4 linked regions of the Daphnia pulex genome follow. The main gene of each other region encodes a partner of the protein of the gene in region 4 in a complex. Links are inferred from orthologs where the notes say so. Each region holds a gene or a part of one and is shown on either strand. Other genes may lie near its edges.

Region 1 (5,273 bases), on a different chromosome or scaffold from region 4:
GCATCCGATACCGACACAACGAACAAATCGACCAGACGGCACTCAGCCGAGCCAAAAAGGTAAACTATGACCATTTGAATTAGCCAGAAAAACCGCTCAAATAAATATGGGACGATAATGCACGCCAATTTTCTAGTGAAACTCTCTCAGATATTTTTAGATAGACGGTTGGAACTTTTCCCTTTTTCGCTTTCGTTGTTGTTGAATGCAAACAACAGATTACATAGTTCACTGGCCCGCTTCATAATACGTCCATCACTTATTCAGTCGCTCCCATTTTCCCTTTTTTTTATCTGTGACAGTTTCGGGAAATTTAAGGCGAAAAGATAATAACTTGCAGCTCCTTCAGTTTTTATCGTCCCGGTTCGTTCGTTCGTTTTTTAAAAGAAACGATCAATTCTATTTTTTTGTTTGAGGGTCGAAAATTTTGAAAAAATGTTTGACATTTCCGCATAAAACGGGAAACGCGGTTGAGTTTCATCAACCACTTTTAAATTTTAATAGCAGTCAAGGAATTTAAAAAATATATTTTTTATTTGATTTGTTTTGGGGTTTTTTCTCAAATTACGACATTTCGTTCAAATTCGCTCTCAGTTTTGAATTTGTTACGTTTAGATGGGTGCGTGGCAAAATTTAAAATCCCCTGTAAACAACATGTATAACAATAGGGAAAAAACCGTGATAATTTTACAACCGGCTCAACCCGGATCTAAACATGCTAAACAGTTTAATTTTCTTTATCCGAGCTGTTGTTGTGTAACCGACACGCAACTCTTTTCCTCAATGTTGCCGTTTGTTTTCGGCAGGTTGTCATGATTTTGTATTTCGGGAAATCAGCCCTGAATCCATTTATTTACGGATGGAAGAACCGCGATTTCCGACTGGCTTTCGCCCGTTTGCTCCGCTACGTCCCCTGCTCCAAGTGGGCGATGGAGCGCTCGCTCAGCTCGGTGGAAATGGCCACCGGAATCGGATCGAGAGCTGGATCCATCCAGCCGCACGATCGACAGCGACTCAGTAAAATCTATCAGCTGGAGCTGCCACCTATCGAGTGGCAAATCAACTCCACCGACCTCTCCAACGACGACTACCTACAACGAACGATCCCGCCGGATCAGCAACAAGTCACGGACTTGTAAAAATTCACGACGGCACGTTTTGAAATAGTTTTTGTTTTTTCACGTTACGCCGGACGCATGCCAAGAATCGTTCAAGTCAATTCTCACGGGGGCTACACTCTTTATTCATGCAGGATGCCTCTGCTTCTTGGCCTGTCCATCGTTGCTGTTGACTGATGCGGGAGATATGTCACATGATTTTTTCCCCCCATCGGTTGTGTTGATGATATTAAAATATTTTCATGTCTTGTGTATAGGCTCCATTGAATGTTGATTGTATTTTTCGTTCGTGCCGATGCCACGGGATTCAAACTCTCTCTGACTGTCCATATCGTCATATAGCCCACACATATTTTGTATCATCTCTGTTTTCTTACTCAATGGTCCATTCCGCATTTTGTATTTTCTTATTTTTTTGCAACGCATTTCTTTTCGGCCTGATGTACTCATGATTCTCGTTGTTGTAAAACGGACAAGTGGTCAAATTCCTTCGTGTTTAGTAGCCAAATTTACATACTCAATTATTCATGGATCGTTTGTAACTTTGTAAAATGTAACAAACATTGTGTTATGAACGTTTCGTTAGGCGACAATAATATGTAAACAAATACGCTGTGTAATGAGTCTCAAAAATATTAAATCATGTTTATTTACGTCGAACCAAAGTAACTCATTGCGTCATCATCCTAATCACTCAAAAACAGTCATACAGTAAGTCATAAGTTTACAATTAATTAATTAAAACCAAATGGAATGCAATGTTTTGTTTTGTTGAACGCTAATAAAACTTTAAAAAAAACAGAACAAAATCACGAATACGATCGTTCACAAATCACTAAATCAGTAAATCACGATGTTTTCTTTTCTTTCGTTTATTGGCGTGCTCGGGTGCGAAAAGGCTTCCATGTTAGAAAATCCGGGCACGGCGACATTTTAATAAGCGCCGCCTTACGTCGTCTAACCTAACAGTGTCGAGCATCGTTTACACACAGTAAACAAGTTAAACCTCGGCCGCAGAGTATGGCTGGGAATTTCTGGCAAAGCTCGCATTGGTTAGTTTTTATTTGTCTAACGTTTTGATTCACATTTAATTACTCACTTTATTATTAGTCAGCAGTGGCTACTAGACCCTTCTGATTTGGTTCGAGAACGCCAAGGGGATTTCGCCATCGTCACGGAGGAAGACTATCAAAAACTCTTCATCTTCTTTAGTAACTGTAAGTTTATATTAACTATGGAATCATCTCCTAAATGTTGAATAATAAAAGTGTCTTTCTCATGTTAGTCATCCAGGTTCTTGGTGAGCATTTGAAACTCAAACAACAAGTCATAGCGACTGCCACAGTTTACTTCAAGCGGTTTTATGCCAGGAATTCCTTGAAATGCATTGATCCACTGCTACTTGCCCCCACATGCATTCTGTTGGCTTCAAAAGTCGAAGAGTTTGGTGTAATTTCGAACAACAGATTAATCACAACATGTCAATCAGTTGGTATGTGATCTTTTCATAAGACAAAATTTGTTATTGTGATTCAATCAACTTCTTAAACAGTCAAGTCAAAGTTCAACTATGCCTATCCTCAAGAGTTTCCCTACAGAGCACAACACATCCTTGAGTGTGAATTTTATTTATTGGAAAACATGGATTGCTGTCTAGTTGTTTACCAACCTTACAGGTGATCAACTGTTTCTGAGAAAATTTAAAGCATAATGTAATAATGTTTTCATTTGAAATTTCCACACAGACCACTTGTCCAATTTGTTCAAGACATTGGGCAAGAAGATCTTCTTGGATTGTCATGGAAAATAGTCAATGATAGCCTAAGAACTGATATATCTCTTCTGTACCCCCCTTACCAAATTGCATTGGGTTAGCTTGAATTATTTTTGTCTTTTATCATGTGAACTCTACTTCATTTATTTCTTTCTTTTCTTCTGTATTAGCTGCCATGCAAATGGCTTGTGTTGTGCTTCAGAAAGACGGGAAAAATTGGTTTGCGGAAATTGCCGTCGATACGGATAAAATTCAAGAAATAACGCGTCAAATTCTGGCTCTGTACGATCTCTACAAGACCTACGACGAGAAAAAAGAAATTCAGGGTTTGTTGGCCAAAATGCCTAAACCCAAAACGCAGCCAAGTCGGTAGGATATTCAATTTCCTATTTAGATCCCAATTCTTTCTTATTTGATCACATTGCAAAGAATAAAATTTTAAAATTGTTTAATACACTGTGATAACTATGTAGGCCTCCCTCGTCAGCACAATCACAGGATGGAATACAGGGCACAAATGACCAGTCCATGGGTGTGACAAATTGATTATCATTATCATTCTCATTTTATAAACTGAAAAACACAAAAAAAACTGTGTTATGATCAACTATTTAATACATGCTTTCTTTTACAATGAAAATGAGAACGCAATTTCTCTATTCTAGTAGTTTAGAAACAACATCAAGGCGGGGAGTACGTATGTAAGCGGCTTCGTTGAAAACGTTTCCGCGCTGTTACTTTGTTGGATTTTCCATCGTGCAATATTTTCGTTAGGATTGCCTTGATCACCGTCAAACCAAATACGCATGCAGGGCTCTGAATTATTGGTATACTTCCATGAATGATCCCAAACCTTTTAGAAAATAAAAATGTAATCAAAATTCTAGGGAGAATGTTAATACTGTTTACCCTTTCACAAAAATTAGATGAGTTTTGAAAGATATCGGAAAAGGTGCGACATTCGGATTCAGGTCGGCAGTGATTGGTCCCATTAATCCATTTGAAGTTTAATGTCCAATTGTCTGTACATGTGTAATCATCCTTGCAAGCATTGAACCAATCATCACAATCAGTGGCGCAAAGAGGCACGTCCAAGAATCTTTCTCTGCGCATTTTCATGTTTACCTAGATAAAAAAGAAAATATACAATTATTTTCTACAAGTTTAAAACATTCAAAACAAATGCTGCTGGTTATATAAAACTAGCATCTAGGCCTCTAGGTGGATCTGTGTTTCTAAAATTACAAAGCTTACAGACAACAATGTCTTATTTATTATGTAACAGCTGAGAAAATTAATTCTGCCTATTGTTTTCAGAGTGAATCTTTAGGAAAAATGAACTGACTATATTCCTATAGCTTGCATAAGCATGTTAAAGAGAGAACACATTTTTTCCATGAGTTTCATGGAACCCACCGTTTGCATCCATGGTCCAACATTAGGTGAGCATTCATAAAAGCATAAATCCTGAACAAAATGTTCTAGACATTTGCTCGACATTTTTCTGTTGGGACAGTGGTTGTAGTTGAAGCCATACATTTTCCCTCCATGAGCATGAACTGTCGTGTTTCCTGTGCAACAAGAATTGTTTTTCCATGGTAGGCACTGAAAAGAACCGAAAAAGTGGCGATCGATAAAATATTATTCAAGATATGTAAGACAAATATTACCTGTTTGTGCAAAGAATCTTCTGGGCCAGGTTCTCGTTTGTGATTGTTACCATCGATGCAAGAATTCACTAACTGTCTCTTATCCTTCACACTGATTTGACCAGAGATCGAATGAAATAGTCCAAGAAATAGAAGAACGAAAATGACATAATGTCTCGTTTCACATGCATTTTGGTGGTGGGAAAGCATGGCCTCAATGTAAGTTTAAAAAGCCAAAACGTCTTCTGCTAGCCGCGTGAATAAAGGTCCTATTCTCAGTCGTGTCCTTCTCGTAAATGAACGATTTTTGGACGAGGCCACGAAACTTAAGGCAATGCTTAGAGGAAGAGTTTGGGGAACTCAGCTGAAATCAATGCGCACTGGCTCGGATGTACGCATGTTAATTGAGATAATAATTAAATCGCCCATATTAAAATAACCGTATCAGCAACGCCTCAGTTTTCTATATAGCACATCACATTTCGCCTTGTAGGATGTGGTTTCGTATTTTTCGTACTTTGTGTAAAGGCAGGAAGTCTTTCATTAATTAACTTTCCGATCAATAAGTTTTGTTTCATAAAATGACGTTTTGATCTCCGTACTTAACGACGGAAAACAAGTTCGCTTTTTGCATTTGCTAATTTATTATTCTGAATTCTGATTTCTGAATACATGTGCCTGTATTCAACGCCAGAAAAAATGTTTATTCCATCAAAGTGATATGGGGACACA
Region 2 (6,023 bases), about 8.0 Mb from region 4:
TGCCTCCACGATGTTCCTCATTTGTTGAAATGCACAAGAAACCATATGCTTGAACATAAATTAGTTCAGGTAACTTATTTTTCTTAATGTTGTTTTACTTAATTTGTAATTCTAAATATTATTTGTAGTTCCAGGGACACAACGTAAATTTTTATTCGTATGAACATCTACTGGAAGCCCAGAAAGGTTTGCAATTGATGTTATGCTGCCGATTAACTGAAGCGCACGTAAAACCAAACAATTTTCAAAAAATGAACGTCAGACTAGCTGCTCAAACATTTTCGGAACGAAATGCTCTTGCTTTTAAAATCTACCGTGAAATGCCAGCCTTTACTGCAAATGAAAAACGGCTGAAAAAGTTGTTTGAAGGTATTTTCCATAATTAATCAATCAATTTAAAATGCTATTGATTATTACATATTGTTAGGTACTGAACACATTGAGCGGCTTACAAAGACTGTGAATGACAATTTTGACGTACTCAACGGTAGACATATCAAAGAAGGAATCACTCCCAATAACTGGTGGATAAATGCACATGATGAAAAAGTGAAAGGCAGGAAACAAATACTTGAAGCCATGTTAGCAGTTCTAGCAGTAACTGAGAGGATTTATGAAAAGGACAAAAACCGAAAAATGTTTTGTTCCTTGACAACCGTACATGGATGGAGAATGACTATAAGAAGCGTTATTGCGTTAACTGAAGAAATGTTTAACGCAGGCTATACAGTAGTCCTCACTGGAAAAATGAATCAAGATCCAGTAGAGGTGAAACGAATTTTAATCGTGATTATCATTTCTATTGCAATTACTCAATAACTTTTTTTCTAATTCATACAGAGACTGTTCGGCATTGTACGTGGTGTTGATGCTCATCCCACGGTGACTTCTTTTCAACAAATCATTCGCTATGTGTCTCTTGGAGCAAGATTATCCACGATTATACAAGGAGCAAACGTTGACAATGTTGAGCAGATGAACATCCTAGTAACAATGTCAAAATGCCTTAAACGTCAAGCCAAGGAAAGTGACATTCGAGCTTCCGACCTGAGATCAGTATTAGAAGATAAACTACTGAAGGAAATAACAATTCGGTTTGTTGATAAAATTAACGAACCAGCGAATTCTAATTTCGTCAAAGATATTTTGATTTATGATTTGTGTGGTTATATGATTCACACAAGGAAGAGTATGTCAAAATGTCCTGACTGTTACAAATCCCTTCGCTGCGAGGAACTGGAGTTGCCAGAAGACTTCACTGCAGATCATTATACTCGAATGCGCAATAAGGGGTTTTTGATCTTTGTCACTGTAAATATGTTCCAAACATTCAGAGTGATAGAAAAGGTAATTGAGGGTCATTTTGAGCCAATTGGCCAAATGTATGAAGAGGAGTCATTTCAAGAGTGCATGGAGAAAATTTCAACTTGTCATTTGGTTCCCATTTTTTGTGACATTCATCGAGATGAAAAGTTACCTTACCTCATAAGAGAATATGTGGGAGTTAGATATTATTTTGAATCAAAAAGACTAAAAAATCTTTTGTTAGCTGAAGCTTCAGCAAATGTAAAAAAAAACAAAAAATTAGCAAAACTTGCGTAGGTACCTCTGTATTTATGAAACATTGTATGCAAGAAAATGATTCGTTTTAATAAATACCCATTTGTAACTACACTAGAATAAAATTCAAAGTAACTGAAAACTAAACATACCATGTCATTACATATTTTTTTTACACAAACAAACAATAAAATGTAAGAATGTGAGAACACTTAGAAAAATAGGACACTTATATATGACTTAGAGGTTTGACAGTTGGATACTTCTACCTTTTTATTATTGTTCACTTCTTGTAGAAAAGTAAGCTGTGATTGGTCAATGAGTTTTTCATAGACCCTTCCTGATTGGCTGGCTTCACGTAGTACCTGACACACTCACTAGAGGCGCTCATCAATTTTTCCAAATCGGACCACGGTTACCCTGAAACCGGGATAGGGAAGCCAACACGGCCGAGAACCGACCAGGTATCTATTGCTCTGCCTTTTATTTGAATTTTTAGTTTTTTCCGTCTGCTCTTCATTTCCTCCATCTGGCAAACGTCATTACAGTATAACAAACCAAAAATCGTCAACAAGAAAAAATATCAACATTACACAAATTGATTTGCATTCATGCAATAACTAGCATGGATTACGATTTTAAAGTTCGAACGAGCGTAGAACGTACCAAAGTAGAAGATCTGTTTGAATATGAAGGAAGGAAGATTGGTCGTGGTACTTACGGTCATGTGTATAAAGCGAAAAGAAAGGAAACATTCGCCACTTCGGATATTAATAAACTAATTAGGTTTGATATTCTCTAAGCACGAGAAATTGTGTAAGTTCAATATAATTATGTTTTATTTTATAGTGCTGACCAAAAGGAATATGCATTAAAGCAAATTGAAGGCACTGGTCTTTCCATGTCAGCTTGTCGTGAAATAGCCTTGCTCAGGGAGTTAAAGCATCCTAATGTGATCAATCTTCAACGAGTATTTCTTTCCCATACTGATCGCAAAGTTTGGCTTCTTTTTGATTATGCAGAACATGACTTATGGGTTTGTTAAAATCTTCCTTCTAAAGTTGTTTTGGTTCATGATCTTTTAACTTATTATATTTGTCACAAACCAAAATTTAGCACATCATTAAATTCCACAGAGCAGCCAAAGCAAATAAAAAGGCAGTTTACACTCCTAAAGCCATGGTAAAATCTTTGCTATATCAAATCTTGGATGGGATTCACTACTTGCATTCTAACTGGATCCTTCATCGTGATTTGGTATTGAGAATTATCTGCTTTTGTTAATATTTTCATCAACAAATAGATTTTTGCTTTCTTTTCCTTAGAAACCAGCCAACATCTTAGTCATGGGAGAAGGAATTGAAAGGGGAAGAGTTAAAATTGCCGACATGGGTTTTGCTCGTTTGTTTAATTCACCACTGAAACCTTTGGCTGATTTGGACCCTGTAGTTGTGACTTTCTGGTATCGAGCACCAGAACTGCTTTTAGGAGCTAGGCACTACACAAAAGCTATTGGTAAAACATTAGTAGTTTGTGTGGTGTTTCACAATTCTATATCATTGCTTTACAATTTATTTTAGATATTTGGGCTATTGGATGTATTTTTGCTGAACTACTAACATCAGAACCAATTTTTCATTGTCGTCAAGAAGACATTAAAACTTCCAATCCCTATCATCACGATCAACTCGATCGGTATGAAAATTTGCTCTTCGTGAGTGTCAGAAATGAATTATTTATTACATTTCCTTGTAGAATTTTCAACGTAATGGGATTTCCACATGACAAGGACTGGGAAGATATTAAAAAAATGCCTGAACATCCTACACTTCTCAAGGATTTTAAACGTAACAAGTAAGTGTTTATTTCCATTTGTTTGTTTACTTCTTAATATTAACTCCATGTTCAAAATGCATCTTTTGTTTATTTTTTTTTTATTTTTTTCTTTTAGCTATCAAACATGTTCCTTGATGAAGTATATGGACCGGTATAAAATTAAAGCCGATACTAAAGCTTTTCATTTGGTAATCGATATTTAAAATTAAAAGTTGCGTTTTTTTCTCTCCTTTTTTGACTGATTAATTTGCTTCAAGCTTTCCAAACTTTTAATGATGGATCCTACTAAAAGATTCACCTCAGAATCTGCCATGGCTGATCCTTACTTTCAGGAAGATCCTTTACCTACTTCAGAGTAAACTTAAAATAAGAATCATAATGTAATATAAGAATCAGTTTTGATCAGATTTGTGTTTCATTAGCGTATTTGCTGGTTGTCCTATTCCGTACCCGAAGCGAGAATTTTTGAGTGACGAAGAGCAAGATGACAAATCTGATAGCAGCAAGGTAATAATAAATTGTTCTTTTGATTTTATTTTATCTAGTCTTTTTCGTCTCCCTTGTTTTGGTTTTCTTTCATTTGCGTTTTATTTGGCATTTGGGTACACTTTTGAATTCAGATGATTGCTAAGAATCCACAGGGTCAGAATACTGCAGCGAATGCCCCCAATGACCAGTCTCATGGTCCTAATGCAAAACGAGTACGGTTGGCTCCCCCACATCCTGGAAACAATGTTGGTGGATCCAACATGTCAGGAGGCCCACCAGATTTCCATGGTCAACATGTTGGACAGCAACCCCATGTACAGCAGCATCCTTCTGCACAGCAACAACAACAACAGCAGCAGCAGCAACAACAACAGCAACAACAGCAGCAGCAACAACAACAACAGCAGCAGCAGCAGCAACAACAGCAACAGCAACATGCTTCACAATCGGGTAATTCTAATCATGGCCATGGCCATCACCCTCAGCATCCGTCACAACAAGGCAACATGCAAGGAGGTATGCATCCGAACTATTCCAATCATCCTGGCCATCCTCAACAACAGTCGCATCCTCAGCAAAACAACTCATTTAATCAAAGATTCTGATGCTCTTTTCATCTATTACTAGCAACTTATTGTATTTTGTCTTCATTTTGAATTCGTAAAATAAAATAAAATGCGTACATTTTCATACTAAAACGTTTAATAATGCATTACCGCTGGAAATGAAAAAGGTACATAGAATAAAAGATACACGATGGATCGTGTTTTGATTCCAGGAATCAAAGGAAAATTGCTGTAAACTATGATCATGTTTGACGAAGGGAGTAACTGCCAAATAGCGAAAACAAGTGGAGGCTGTGTATGGGTACTTGGGTAGAGCAAAAAAAAGCGAGAAAAAGAAACAATATTGAGTCCTTGATTCATGTTCAGCAAAAAAAATTAAAAAAATTAAAAGAAGGGTAAAATGGTAAGTGGCTACGAAACGAAAATACAATCACAAATAAAAAATAAGATGACTAGCCCGTCACATTTTCTATGCCAATTGACATCATTTGGCATCAACAAAGATGCACCAAGAGATTTGGTGAACTATTATTCTGCCACACTTTCAGGTCCACTTTCCATGACTGGTCATAAATACAGATATGACAGAAAATGTTACTTGGATGCTTTCTTTTTTGTTATTGTTGGGGACAGGGGATGGCAGAAACGACAAAGAAATTTTTAGCGCAAGAGAAAAGATAGTACGTCAATCCGCAATAGACAAGGTTCCGACTTTTTAAATGATAGTTTTAAAGAGTAAATTCATCGTCAACGTCATCAAATTGAATGTTATCGTCGAAGGGTTGAACCCACGCAAAAGGGTCTTCGACGATCGTATTAAAAACATGAACAGATGGTTGTTTAACCATTTGAGAATTAGAAGGTGCAGGGGAAGAAGCTTTAGCTGGAGGCAGATCCGGTTGGAAGAAGTCGTCATCAAAGGGATCGTCTACTCGTGAAAAGATGTTTACTGATGTCGATTTCTTGACCAACTGATCTCCTTTGGTCTTTAGCTGATGATCCGGATCCTTAGCCTCACTAAAAGCTGAACTAAAATCGACAGCAAACGAATCTGAAACGGGTGGAATATTTGGTTCGGTAACCATTTTATCTGAGGAAAGGTCAAAATCTGCAAACGAATCACCAAATCCTTCAACTGGGTTGGCAGGGAAGCGTGCTTCAAAAGCAGCAAACTTGTCAGCCAAATCATCAATGGCTTCGTTATCTTCTTTCTCGATGACTTCTATTCTTTCTGATTCATCTTCCTCCTCCTCTTCATCTGCAGGCGTTTCAGAAAAATTGTAATCTTTCTGTGTCGAACCATTCCAAACGGTGTGAGTTGCTGCTGATTTTACTGCCGAGTCCTCCTCGGCAAAGTGATCAAATTCGGCACTTCCGGAAGATACAGAATTTCCGCTAGGATGACATTGCACCGCAGTCTTGGGTCGGGCACCAGTCTTATCATATGGCGATTCAGTCAATCGATTCAACTGGATGTGGCTAAAATCATCTTCAAATCCGAAAATAGGGGAAACTGTTTTACCGACGGACGCGACTGGGGGGTTGCCATACAGAAATCCGGCTTCTTGTGTT
Region 3 (5,908 bases), on a different chromosome or scaffold from region 4:
TGGAAGACTCTTAGCTTTTACCTTTAAGGAGCTGTAGACATAGATCTATGAGTCCACTTATACTTAGCGAAACTTCGAAGAGATCGAAGAGAAAAGAAATGTGTTCCAAAATAGGCAAATACGCTGCTCCTCCAACGGTGAAGCTATTGATCATTTCCATACAAGTTGAGGCTGCTTGGGCAGCTACGGCATGACGATCAAAGTAAGATAACGATAGAAAGCGTTGCATGCTCAATTCAAAATTGAACTCGAGGCGCGACGAGTGTTTTCGGGATTTCGAAGAACCTACAAAGGCTCCGACTCCTCCAGCTAGATTAGTCCCTTCCGTTTGGACATCAATCGCTAGCTTCTTGTGAAAAAGGCGACACATTTCCTTTGAGACTTTTTTAACAGCATGGCGAGATTCTTCGCGTGCTTTTCCAACTCCGTACAGCAGAATGTGTCGTTGATTGCAGTCGTGGATTAAACTATCATCCTAAGTAGAAAAGATAAGACGACTTTAGGATACACAAATAACCAATAAGTAATCAATAATTTAAATATAGTTCGAATATTCGTGCAAGTTCTTAGATCAATATTATGTATATTACCTGAGGCAAAGGAAAATGAGTGGTAAACAGGAGGTGTCTTGATTGACGTTTACCCTCTTTCTCTCCTCGACCAGTTTCAAGTGTGTTATGACTTTCATCTTTGGGAGAATCAGGCGTGTCCTGAGTGAAAGTAATAAAAACAAACATCAAATAAAACCTCTGAAAAATACTTCTTTAAATATCATAGCTAGTAAATAATGCCGAAAGTGGAATTTGATTACACTAATATAAATACAAGAAAAAATACCAACCATGACAATTTGTTGTTCTTCTTTGATATGTTGCAACAACTTCCCAAGATCGTCGTCTATTTTACTGTCATCCATTTCACAGCGTAAATCATTCATACATTGGAATCCCGTTAAACTACTCATTCCGCTGCTTGGAGTGCCAGCAAAATGACCCGAATTTGACGGAGCAACCGTAGCTCCACTATGGCCAGGTGTAACTGAGAGAAGATCACCTCGCGAAATCAAAGTACACATGTACATGTCATGAGAGAACACGTCATGCTTGATGAGTTCATAGTATAAATGAACCAAAGACGCAAAAACTGTTCGATTGTTGTGCCCGGAACTTGATTCATTGAGCACTGGTGCTTCGGAGTCAAGAAATTTCATTAAAAATCCCTAAGAAATCAACATTAATTTTAGAAACATTAAGAAAAACCAAAATAACAATCAAGCAAACCTGATAAACGGGTTGGACGGCGGAAACGGCAGCCAAATTTTCGTCGGTATCATTGTCTTCGCCTCCAACAGCATCACTTTCTGTTAAAGCCACCAAATCCATTTGTCTCTTTTCTAGAAGCAGAGCAGCTGCAATCGCGCGGTGTTCTCCATATCGTTGATCACTAACTGCCCATTGACACAACAGGCGAACAAACGGTTCATCCTGTTTGGCGAATTGGCCAATTTGCTCTACAGTTGCAGGATCAACATTTCCTTTGTTTCCCCCAATTGCCGGAAATATTTTGACGTACAGTGAATCGATACTGAAATGAATATTGATTGAAAGGTCACAAACAGGATGTAAGGGTACGACTATTAAGTGGTCTCACCTGTTGGTCAAGTCTACACGGTCGAAACTATGAAGATCCAATGCTTCGAGAGCCTGAAGCACTCGTGCTGTTATAATCCCAGTCTGTGGCTGATTTTGTTGTTTCTGCTATTGGATGAAATCATCTCATTAAAATTTTAAATGAAAATTATTTCAATATCTAGAATTGGACTTACTTTAACACTACAATTGATTTCGGAGTGATGAATCAGTTTATCTAAAGGCCATCGTGATTCGGCAGCCTTACTACGCTGTTTGATGGCATTCTCAGCTTCTCGAAGCATCTGACGGACCTAGAATAAAAGAATATAGTACGATTAAAGTTTGTCATGTTATAGTGACAAGAAAAATGTAATCCTAGAATTTAGGTCACAAGTCCTTACGTGATCGTTTGAAAAACGAGGAGCCATAGGTAATGCTGACGGAGGAATAGGCAAATGATCTAAAGGGGATCCAACCAAATGAGATGATATTTTTCCTTCTCCAGAATGGTTCCACACTAACGCCGTCGGACAATGAAGAACGACTGCTTGAATGATGGCAGACATTTGAAGAAGAACACTCCTATGCTGCCCACAATTTCCCACATCTAACGAAACTGATCCTTCGCTGATTTGATCGTTCGATAGAAGCGGTGAAATTCTTCTACACACCTGATTTAACGAAACCAATTACAATACATTTATTTCAAGATTTGTATATAACTTGGTCATCCAACCTTACCTGAAAAACAAGCTTTCGACTCAGAATTTCACACTGTGTAAATTCATCTACATACTGCAAGATTAATGGAATAATAAACTTGAGAAGACCATCATCACAAGTTTTACATTTTTCAAGCATGTCCAACTGCCATTGTAAGAAATCTTGGCATTCAAGAAGTCCCTCCTGAAAGACAAATGAAATTGCAAAAACGAAAAAATAAAATTTTATCTCCACAATACCTCAAACATCACTTTGCATAATTGCTGGCAATAATTAAATTGGCGAAGAGCAAGCTTCTGTTCATCACTCATCAAAGGGCTACCATTATGATATGCAGTAGCATTTGAAGCATATGCAGCAGAAGTTCCTCCACTATTTGTGGATTTTTGATAGAAATCTTGTAGTTTCACAATTTGTTCCTTTATGAACCGGACCAATGTACTAGTCCACTCTATATAACAAAAAAATGATTATAATTGCAGATAAAATAAATTATTTAAATCTTGGAAACTACCTTGAGAGGAATCTGGAACTTGACGCTTTTTCATTTTGGCTTCAGAAATAGCCACTGAATACGCAGATGTCATCTTGATTAACCATATTGCTCTAGACATAGGAACCTGATATTCACTTAGTTGGATAAATATTTCTTCCTTCTTGTTGAATATTGGCACCTTGTAAAAGGAATCAAAAGTTGGTATTTTTATTTGTTTAAGATATTCTGAGTATAATATTACTCTTTTTCCTAGATTCATCAAAGGTTTGCTGCCTGCTAAGTCTTTGAACCAAGACTCAATGAATGCCTTGGACTTTGGAGTAACATTATGGAAATTTTCTTTGGGATTGATGAGTTGGCGTTTTCGGCCAGTATCAGGCAATGTGTTGATTTCTTGTTTTTTTGTAAGCACTCCATTAATAAAAGTTTGGACCTAACATTAGGAAAGAATAATAAAATGGTTGTCAGCCTAGAACAATCTATGAACATCATACTAATTACAGTAAATTGTAGTTTACCTTTGATAAAGAAAAGTTGTGATTTTTAGCAGATCCATACTCTTCAGACTGATTAAGATTGGGTGTATGAGAAAATCCTTGTTTCACATTGACAGGAGTCAGTTCATCCTAAAAATAGTATTCCAAATGTTAATGAAAGGAAAACATAAAGAATTATCCTTTTTTTTAAATGAAACTGCCTTTTGGCAACTAGCATTTTCGTACTTGGGCTCATAAAAAAGCTGCAGCTACATTCAAAATATTACCTCTTTTTGTTTGGGATCCTGTGGGTAAACATCGGGCGGTCCTAATCTCAATTTTTTAAGAGGACGATTTTCCATTGATAAACAAGCCATAACTAGCTCTAAAATCAATTTCCACGCAGAAGTATAAATTTGTTACCACACATCAATGTTTACACAACACAAGTACACAAGTAATCAAATACTTCTAAATTCTTATCAAGAGTTCCGATTTTCAGACCATGGTTCAGACAGATATATCAGTGTGATGGCTTTGCTACAACGTTGCATTTCTATAATTTGCTGTTACGGCACACATAAAGAATAATTGGAGATGAATGTATTTGAATTTTGGACTAATCGTAGTCTAGCAACTGAATTTAGAAATAGTTATTAATACAATTGGTATCAATTTATTATGAACAAATTAATGACAAAATATGCTCCTTGCATTTTCAATTTTCATTGATCACATCTTGGCAGTGCTGTAAAAGTCAGCAGACTATATTTTGAACATTTCTATTTTGGCATTTTGTTAGAAATTGTAGTGGCGCGGAATTGCTGAATTGATTGAAGTGAAGGACTAAATCAAGTGAAATTAAATTAAGAATGTCTTCCTTTAAACCGAAATTAGGAGACGGCTCCATAATATTACCACAAGCACGAGTAAAAATGATTATGAAGAGTTCCCCAGATACTGAGAGCATATCCACTGACGCATTATACTTTGTAACAAAAGCAACGGTATTTTTAGTTTGTTTCCAGATAATTTTTTCATCTTATTTTTCTCATCTTCATCTAAAATGTTTCAATGTTTTAAGGAGTTTTTTGTAGAACATTTAGCCCAAGAGATTTATGAAAGTACCAAAAAGTCAAATGAGCTTACTTACAAAGGTCTAGCTGACATTGTTCAAAAAAGTGATTCTATGCAGTTTCTCAAAGGTACTGTGTTACTAAATGGTATTAGTAAAATTTTAATTTATTATTATTATTGTGTTTTCAGATATGGTTCCTAAGAAAATAACATACAAGGAATATCAAGAAATTCTGAAGGAAAAAGGAAATGGTGACTTGTTTTGAGTGTTTATTCAAATTCATTTCTGTCTTCAACATTACTTGCTCATATTTATAAGTGTTCCACTAAGGAAAGTTCAATTTCAAATACATTGATTGAACCCATTGTTCCTTTACGATTCACATCAACTAAGATAGTTTGGTGGTTCAATAGACTGCAGTTAATGTACTGTTGTAATTAATTAATTGCGGTTTTATGTGACCATTTGTTAGCCTAAACGGGTGTGTCCGTATTTTTTTCTCCCTCAATTTAGCGTACGTTATTTTCAAACCACAGCTGCTGCAATAAGCAAAATGGCAAAGTTCAGCGTGTCACCCATAGATGGCGAAAAAAGCAGTCTAAAAAAACAAAACATTTGATTTTGATTTTTGACATTTTGACACTAGAAGGGCTACTCTAATTTCTAAAAGGATGGCGAACTCCAACCGTGTTACAGTAATACATACTGGATATTCTTCTACCACAATTGAGGAAAAAGACGAAAATCTTCCTTTCGTCCGTGCAAATTGCTCATGCGTATTGGTTACCGGCAGTAAAAATAGTAACAAACAGCACAATCCAAATATGTTCGCAATAACGTGATAACAGTTAATAAATTATTTTTTCAGTAATTGTTGATACAATGACACCTTGGGATACCAATCTCATTTTACTATCTTTAGAGGCGAATGGGTTAACCCCTGATGACATCAACTATGTCATATCTACTCATGGTCATTCGGATCACACTGGCAACAACAATTTGTTTCTGAAAGCTAAACATATAGTTGGCTATTGCATTTCTGTTAAAGACAAATATTTTTTACATCCTTTTGATAAAGGTAAATTCTGTGGTTTCCTTTAATTGTGTACTTTATTACTTTAGCTTCAAACAAACATTAATTTTTTTTACATACAAAATGTATGATGTGCTGTAGGTCTTCCATTTGAAATTGATGAGGGTATTACAGTAATACCTACACCTGGACACACAGCAGATGATATCAGTGTTGTTATTAAAACTGAAGATATGGGTACAGTAGTCATTGCAGGTAAAATTTCTTGCTAGCTATATGTTATCAATAATGACATTTTATTTCAATTTTGTCTATTAATTAGGTGATATTTTTGAACGGGAAGAAGACATTGAACAACCTGAGATATGGAGAAGTTGCGGGAGTGTAAATCCTGAACAGCAAGAACATTCGCGAGCTGTTATTGCAAATATTGCAGATTACATTGTCCCAGGCCATGGTCCAATTTTT
Region 4 (5,696 bases):
CGGTTGACGGCGTTGGGTCTTTTGCGTTGCTATCACCAAATGTTGTCGCTCCTTTCGGAGACGGTCCAGCTCAACGTGTCGCTGCAATTGATTTCCGCCGACGCCATCCTCCAACTGGGCAAAGACGTGAACGGCGCCTCTCGCTACGATTCGCTCCGATCGCTGGCCCTCAACGTCTTTTCGCAGTGCAAGAAATTAATCTCACAGCCGTCGAACGTCAAATCGCTGACGGGATTCGGTCCGGCTGCCGCCTCTGACACGTTCCTCAAAGCCAAAGACGAGAGGAATCGTGCTCCTTACAGGGTCTACATCCCGGCCTACGTCCTGGCGCCGACCAAAGACAGGACGGTCTGCGACCTCGATCCAGGCGTGTCTACCAACGGAGGGCCCGGCAGTGGCCCACTGTCATTCTTGGCCCGGCCCGACAAGTATTCCGTCCTCTACGTCAGCTACTGCTTATCAGAAGATCAGCGCTGGCTGATTGCCGCCTGCACGGACGAGCGCGGCGAGCTGGTTGACAGCTGCACCATCGGCATCGACGTCCCAAACCGAACCAAGCGGAAACGAGTCTCAGTCAGGCGGTTCGGGCTCCAGCGGCTCATGGATTTCATTCTGGGCGTCATTTCCACCGGAGTTCATCCGTGGAGGCTCGTCATTGGCCGCGTAGGTCGAATGGGCCACGGCGAATTGAAAAGTAACAATCTAATTTTTAATTTCACCAATCGGATGGATTTTTAAAATGTCAATCTTTTATGTGTTTTCGCCACAATAGGTTGGAGCGCCCTGCTGAGTCGCAAAAATCTGTTGAGAGCCTCGCGACATTTGGCCGACATTTGCGGCCAGTGTTCGCTCGTGTTCCCTTCGCAGGCGCCCACTTTAGTGTCGGCCTGTCTGGTCTCGCTCGAGCCGGACTCTCACTTCCGCATGATGCCGGATCAAGTGACTCCTGACGAGCGTTTCGGTCAGCAGTCAGCCAACAGTCACCTGTCGACACCCGAGGACGCCTCTTGCACTCACATCCTCGTTTTTCCCACGTCAGCTACCACTCGAGTAAGTCGTCGTTTCTGCTCGCCTGAAGGAAAGGTGTTTCTTTTTTTATTCTAACTTGTTTATTCTTTTTTCTTACGCAGTCTCCTCAGACGACGTTCCACGAGGAAAACATCAACGGACCCGATTTGGGAGATGACGATCTGCTCTCTGCCCTCAACGACGACATGGGCGACGGATTCGAGGGGATGAGCGGCTTTGACGACATTTTCATGACGTGGCCGGAAACGGACCAAGTCAATGACGGCACCGACGATTTGACGTCGGACATAACGGGCGGCAACAACGGCGGGATGAACAACATGGGCGGTTGCGGAACTTCTCGGTCACCTGGAGCTTCGCACGGTGGCGGCGGTGGAGGTTCGCCCGGCCGTGGCGGCATGCGCTCCAACATGAATCCCGAGTCGCCGTCGGGCATGGGCGGACACCACCACGCGGGCGGTTCCGGGCGGCAGAGTCCGCGAGCGGAGCAGGAGGAAGTGGGCACGCTGCTCCAGCAGCCACTGGCCCTCGGCTATTACGTGTCGACGGCGCCAACGGGCGACATGCCGTCCTGGTTCTGGTCTTCGTGCCCTCATTTGGCGCGTGCCTGCCCGGCTTTCCTCAAGTGCGCACTTCACTTGCACAACCACGCCGTCCAGCAGAATTCGGACGACATCCTCCTGCAGCAGCAGCAACAGCAAGTCAACAACTCGTCAAAGGTGCATCCGCTCGACTCGCAAGTCACGACGGATGTCCTCAGGTACGAAACGAATCTTTCTTTTTATAAATTGGGATGAGGTCGTGGGTCACGTTGGTATTGATTATTGATTTCGATTGGAAACCCCAAAGGTACGTCATGGAAGGTTACAACGCCCTCTCTTGGCTGTCGCTCGATCCCAAGTCTCGTGATCGCCGCTCTTGCCTCCCCATTCACATCCAGCTCTTGGTGCAGCTCTACCACGCCTTGGCTGCTTTAGTCTGAAAACAACAACAAACACAACAACAAAATCATTTACAACCCCTCTGAAAAAAAAAAGAAAATTTGTTTTCCCCGTGTCGGAATTTCTTAATTTGACAGAAACAGAAGAAGAAATAATTACGATATTATTATTTAAAAGAAAAAGAAACTTAAAAAAGAATCGATGCCCTGTGCTGGTGTATGCACTTCGCAATATCCTACTCGCCTCACCCCCTCACACTCACACACAAACACAACACGCCACCATCCGTCATGACAAAAACAAAACTAAAAAAACTAAAAAAATAGTATAATATTACATAATGGCTCTACATAATGTTTTTTTCTTTTTTTTCTGTTGGTTCGTTCGATTGTTGGGTCTTTCTTGTTCCCTTCTCATATTCGTTGACGATTTTTCTAGTGCAAAAAGTAAAAACACCAACAAAAAAAGAAAGAAAAAAAAAAGATGAATAATTAATTACATAATAATCTTTACAAAAAAAATTTGCGATGGATTTGTTAGCGTCGGGGGTATATATTGTGTTCCTCCTCCTTTCACGGTGTTGTTGTACCATCCCCCCCCCTTTTTTTCTATCTTGAAAAACTTAAAAAAAAAAGCAAAAGACAAAGGAACAATATCTTATTATGTAATCAGCTTTGTGATGGTGATGTTTTTTGTACAGGACAGTTCAATTTCCAAAGCGTTCATATGGGCCACATACCGTTTGTAATTCTGCTCCGAAATTATTTTTTTTTTCGTCTCTTCCTGTAATTTCTTTCGGTTTAATTTTCTTTTTGGATGGATGGATTTCATTTATACGCATTTCTCCTCTTTACCTCTATCTCCCTCCTTTTTTTTTTAAATTTCTTAAAAAACTATTCTCGAAATATTTCCAGCGAAACAGCAGCAATACTGGCCGTTTTGTGAGCGAAAATTAATCAATTAGTTTGGGGGACAAACCAGCAACAAAAAAAAAAACCCAGGCAGTTTGTTGGGATTTATTGTGTTTGGTTGTTTTGTCTCTGCAGGGCCTCTAGAAGAAAGAAGAGAATGATGATAATAATAAAATCTTATATATTTCAAGTGAATGACGGAACACAGCCCTGCCTGACTTAGAGCAATTGATTGTGAGTAAGAAAAAAACGAAGGTGACATCTCGTCTGTTGTTGTTGTTTCCTAGCCCTCCCCTGTGCTGTACATTCTTCTTCTCTTTGTCCTGTCCGCTTAACTCCTCTAGTGTCAACACTCAAATCAACATCCTCTATTCATCAATTGTCATTACCTTAATTTTTCCTTTTGTGTGTCGAGAGAGAAATGTAGTAGGATGGGGTGGGCGACTTATTTTATGATTGTATCCTTTTTCCTTCCCTTTTTCAAAATCTTATCGAACGACAAGTGACCGGAGATTCTAAAAACTAGACCGTCATTCTTCATCTTCTCTTGGTGGTAACATGTTTTTCTTTTTTTTTTCTTGAATTTGGTCAGTTCCTCTCTCCTTCGATTGAATTTTGTTTTCCTTTTGATTTCCCCTTTTGTGGAGGTGTGTGTCAAATCGAAACTCTGATCGTCCATTTTTGTCGCCGTGTAACTGGGAAGGAAAGAATGAACCACACACTCCTCATCCGATATGCATTTTGTACAAAACAGAAACAGCAACTTAACAAACCACAACAACACACAAACAACAACCATTCAATAAAAACAAGACTTATAATAAAATCCTGTTGATTTCGTGTGTGTCCCCCTTCTCCCCCCTGATTCACATTAACTCCCATACCTCCTTGTAAGCTTGTTTCTCACCTCTCAAAATTGTCCGTGTCTCCACACACACACATAATTGAATTGTTTTTCTTTGAAATTTTGATGGCCTGACGGTTGTCGGGCAAAAAGTGAAAATTGAAAACTTTGGCCCGATGATCAATTGGCGATTGCGCTATTATACAAAAAATTGAATTTGTAATATGAATTAATATTATTGATTTATACTATTATGTCCAAAAGAAACTGAACTCTTTAAGTCCTCAATCTTTTCCCCCACGCCCATTTTTATTTTCATCCATTTATTATTCTCTCTCTTTTGATATTCCGTCAGCGAAAAGAAAAAAACACACACCTGCTTGCGCGAATACAAGTAACTTTTATACAGTAACCAACGCCAAAAACAGCCCCGTCCGTTTTCAAAATTTCGTGAGTATATTTGTGTCAATCCGAGTCATTAACAGGTTGATTGGAGAGTACAGCAGTTGAGTTAGCGGAAGAGTATTAAGAAAAAAAATCACTACTTTTACAGGAATTTCCAGACTACGAAGATTTTGGCGACCGCAAAACACTTTTTTTTACAGATTACCGCGGGCGTCTTGATCCAACTCGATGGCTTCGAAAAGAGCCTTGAAATTGCCCGCTCCGAAACCCTGAGAAAATAATTTGTTTTTTATTTTGTTGATGCTAGTAAAGAAAATATGCGCGTTACCTGGTGGTTGTTACGCTGGATGACCTCCAAGAACAAGGTAGGTCGATCTTGCATGGGTTTGGTGAATAATTGCAACAGGTAGCCATTGTCGTCGTAATCCACCAAAATGTTGAGCTCCTGTTCAGACAATTAATTACTTTGCAACACATTTCAGATCAATAGAAATTCGAACCTGAAGGACACTCAAGTCTTCCTTGATTTTCACGGGGGATTCGGCCAATTTCACGCGGAGTTGATCGTAGTAGGCGGCGGGGACGGTGAGGAACTGAGTGCCGCGCTTCCTCAAGTTGCGAATCTTAAAATAGAAACGTTTAATTTTCATAATTGACAAAAACACAAAGAAAATGTTAGTCGGTACAGCCGTGATGATGTCGGAAGTGTTGAGGGCAATGTGCTGCACTCCGGCGCCTCCGTAGTAGTCGGTGTATTCCTGAATTTGGCTCTTTCTCAGTCCGTTGGCCGGTTCGTTGATGGGCATCTTGAGTGGCCAGGAAAAATAATTAACGACCACCATCTCCTTTTTTAAAAAGATGTGCATGATTACCTTGATGGTTTCCTCGTAATTGGTGACGACGATGGAACGTAGGGCCGAGTATTGCGTGTGAATCTGAGAGTCGTCAACCGACCAGAATCGATGAAACATTAAATTTTGAGTGTACCATTCAGCTGCCGACTCCATTTGCAAATCCGGTTGATTTCCCACAACGTGATCGATGAAATTCAAATCGATCGTAGGTCTATAATAATACAAAATCATTTAGTAATATAAATATTAATCTCAAAAGGAAATTCATTTGAAAATGTTTACAGTGTCGAAAGTAGAGGATCTTCGCTGACTGGGATTTTGTTGTAGCCGGGCAGGAAGAAACCGGTGTAGTTGCCTCGTTCCACAAAGGTATGTGTAGTGTCGCCATACTGTCAGATATATTAAACAAGTTGACCAATTTTGGAATTTAATATAAACTGGTTTTTCGCGCTAGGATATAAATTACCGTTTGAACTGTGGCAAAACGGACGAAACCGAATTCGTCCTCTTCTTGCCAAATGTCACGGACGACTTTGGCACCGCGGTCCTTGGCCGCCTGAACAATGGCGTCGAGATCTTCGACGCTGAAGGCGATGTCTTTGACGCCATCGCCGTGTCGCACCAAATGCGGGCCCATCTCAGAGTCATCGTTGGGTTCGTAAGCAGATTTAAAGACGAAGCGAATCTAAAGAAAAACATGACGTATGCAAAT

What was found.
Region 1: mediator of RNA polymerase II transcription subunit 13-like (region 4) and cyclin-C-like share a complex: the UniProt entries of both Drosophila melanogaster proteins name them as parts of the cdk8 module of the Mediator complex. The link is inferred for Daphnia pulex from reciprocal best matches to the Drosophila melanogaster genes skd and CycC.
Region 2: mediator of RNA polymerase II transcription subunit 13-like (region 4) and cyclin-dependent kinase 8-like share a complex: the UniProt entries of both Drosophila melanogaster proteins name them as parts of the cdk8 module of the Mediator complex. The link is inferred for Daphnia pulex from reciprocal best matches to the Drosophila melanogaster genes skd and Cdk8.
Region 3: mediator of RNA polymerase II transcription subunit 13-like (region 4) and mediator of RNA polymerase II transcription subunit 12-like share a complex: the UniProt entries of both Drosophila melanogaster proteins name them as parts of the cdk8 module of the Mediator complex. The link is inferred for Daphnia pulex from reciprocal best matches to the Drosophila melanogaster genes skd and kto.

What each region holds. Positions count from the first base shown.
Region 1 is NC_060017.1:5,571,362-5,576,634, reverse strand, and holds cyclin-C-like, read left to right. Parts: upstream 1-2,010; 5' UTR 2,011-2,138; coding exon 2,139-2,170; intron 2,171-2,228; coding exon 2,229-2,335; intron 2,336-2,403; coding exon 2,404-2,610; intron 2,611-2,670; coding exon 2,671-2,794; intron 2,795-2,863; coding exon 2,864-2,988; intron 2,989-3,062; coding exon 3,063-3,261; intron 3,262-3,365; coding exon 3,366-3,438; 3' UTR 3,439-3,532; downstream 3,533-5,273. Other genes in the region: adenosine receptor A2b-like, read left to right, coding at 1-59, 807-1,139; folate receptor alpha-like, read right to left, coding at 3,554-3,745, 3,802-4,017, 4,309-4,497, 4,563-4,751. UniProt on the Drosophila melanogaster protein: Component of the Mediator complex, a coactivator involved in regulated gene transcription of nearly all RNA polymerase II-dependent genes.
Region 2 is NC_060023.1:3,948,771-3,954,793, reverse strand, and holds cyclin-dependent kinase 8-like, read left to right. Parts: upstream 1-1,973; 5' UTR 1,974-2,185; coding exon 2,186-2,346; intron 2,347-2,409; coding exon 2,410-2,596; intron 2,597-2,676; coding exon 2,677-2,817; intron 2,818-2,885; coding exon 2,886-3,075; intron 3,076-3,140; coding exon 3,141-3,255; intron 3,256-3,315; coding exon 3,316-3,414; intron 3,415-3,511; coding exon 3,512-3,584; intron 3,585-3,653; coding exon 3,654-3,751; intron 3,752-3,818; coding exon 3,819-3,903; intron 3,904-4,016; coding exon 4,017-4,490; 3' UTR 4,491-4,583; downstream 4,584-6,023. Other genes in the region: uncharacterized protein LOC124198281, read left to right, coding at 1-69, 129-369, 428-768, 841-1,602; protein disabled-like, read right to left, coding at 5,180-6,023. UniProt on the Drosophila melanogaster protein: Component of the Mediator complex, a coactivator involved in regulated gene transcription of nearly all RNA polymerase II-dependent genes.
Region 3 is NC_060025.1:6,925,502-6,931,409, forward strand, and holds the start of mediator of RNA polymerase II transcription subunit 12-like, read right to left. Parts: upstream 3,866-5,908; 5' UTR 3,704-3,865; coding exon 3,614-3,703; intron 3,477-3,613; coding exon 3,369-3,476; intron 3,284-3,368; coding exon 3,092-3,283; intron 3,029-3,091; coding exon 2,869-3,028; intron 2,806-2,868; coding exon 2,594-2,805; intron 2,538-2,593; coding exon 2,373-2,537; intron 2,303-2,372; coding exon 2,033-2,302; intron 1,943-2,032; coding exon 1,826-1,942; intron 1,758-1,825; coding exon 1,651-1,757; intron 1,585-1,650; coding exon 1,281-1,584; intron 1,220-1,280; coding exon 842-1,219; intron 711-841; coding exon 591-710; intron 476-590; coding exon 22-475; intron 1-21. Other genes in the region: chromatin accessibility complex protein 1-like, read left to right, coding at 4,199-4,333, 4,411-4,531, 4,593-4,669; metallo-beta-lactamase domain-containing protein 1-like, read left to right, coding at 5,076-5,205, 5,273-5,485, 5,582-5,695, 5,763-5,908. UniProt on the Drosophila melanogaster protein: Component of the Mediator complex, a coactivator involved in regulated gene transcription of nearly all RNA polymerase II-dependent genes.
Region 4 is NC_060023.1:11,957,415-11,963,110, forward strand, and holds the end of mediator of RNA polymerase II transcription subunit 13-like, read left to right. Parts: coding exon 1-694; intron 695-772; coding exon 773-1,050; intron 1,051-1,130; coding exon 1,131-1,789; intron 1,790-1,878; coding exon 1,879-2,011; 3' UTR 2,012-4,137; downstream 4,138-5,696. Other genes in the region: 4-hydroxyphenylpyruvate dioxygenase-like, read right to left, coding at 4,325-4,399, 4,459-4,575, 4,631-4,753, 4,817-4,936, 5,003-5,195, 5,267-5,373, 5,451-5,669. UniProt on the Drosophila melanogaster protein: Component of the Mediator complex, a coactivator involved in the regulated transcription of nearly all RNA polymerase II-dependent genes.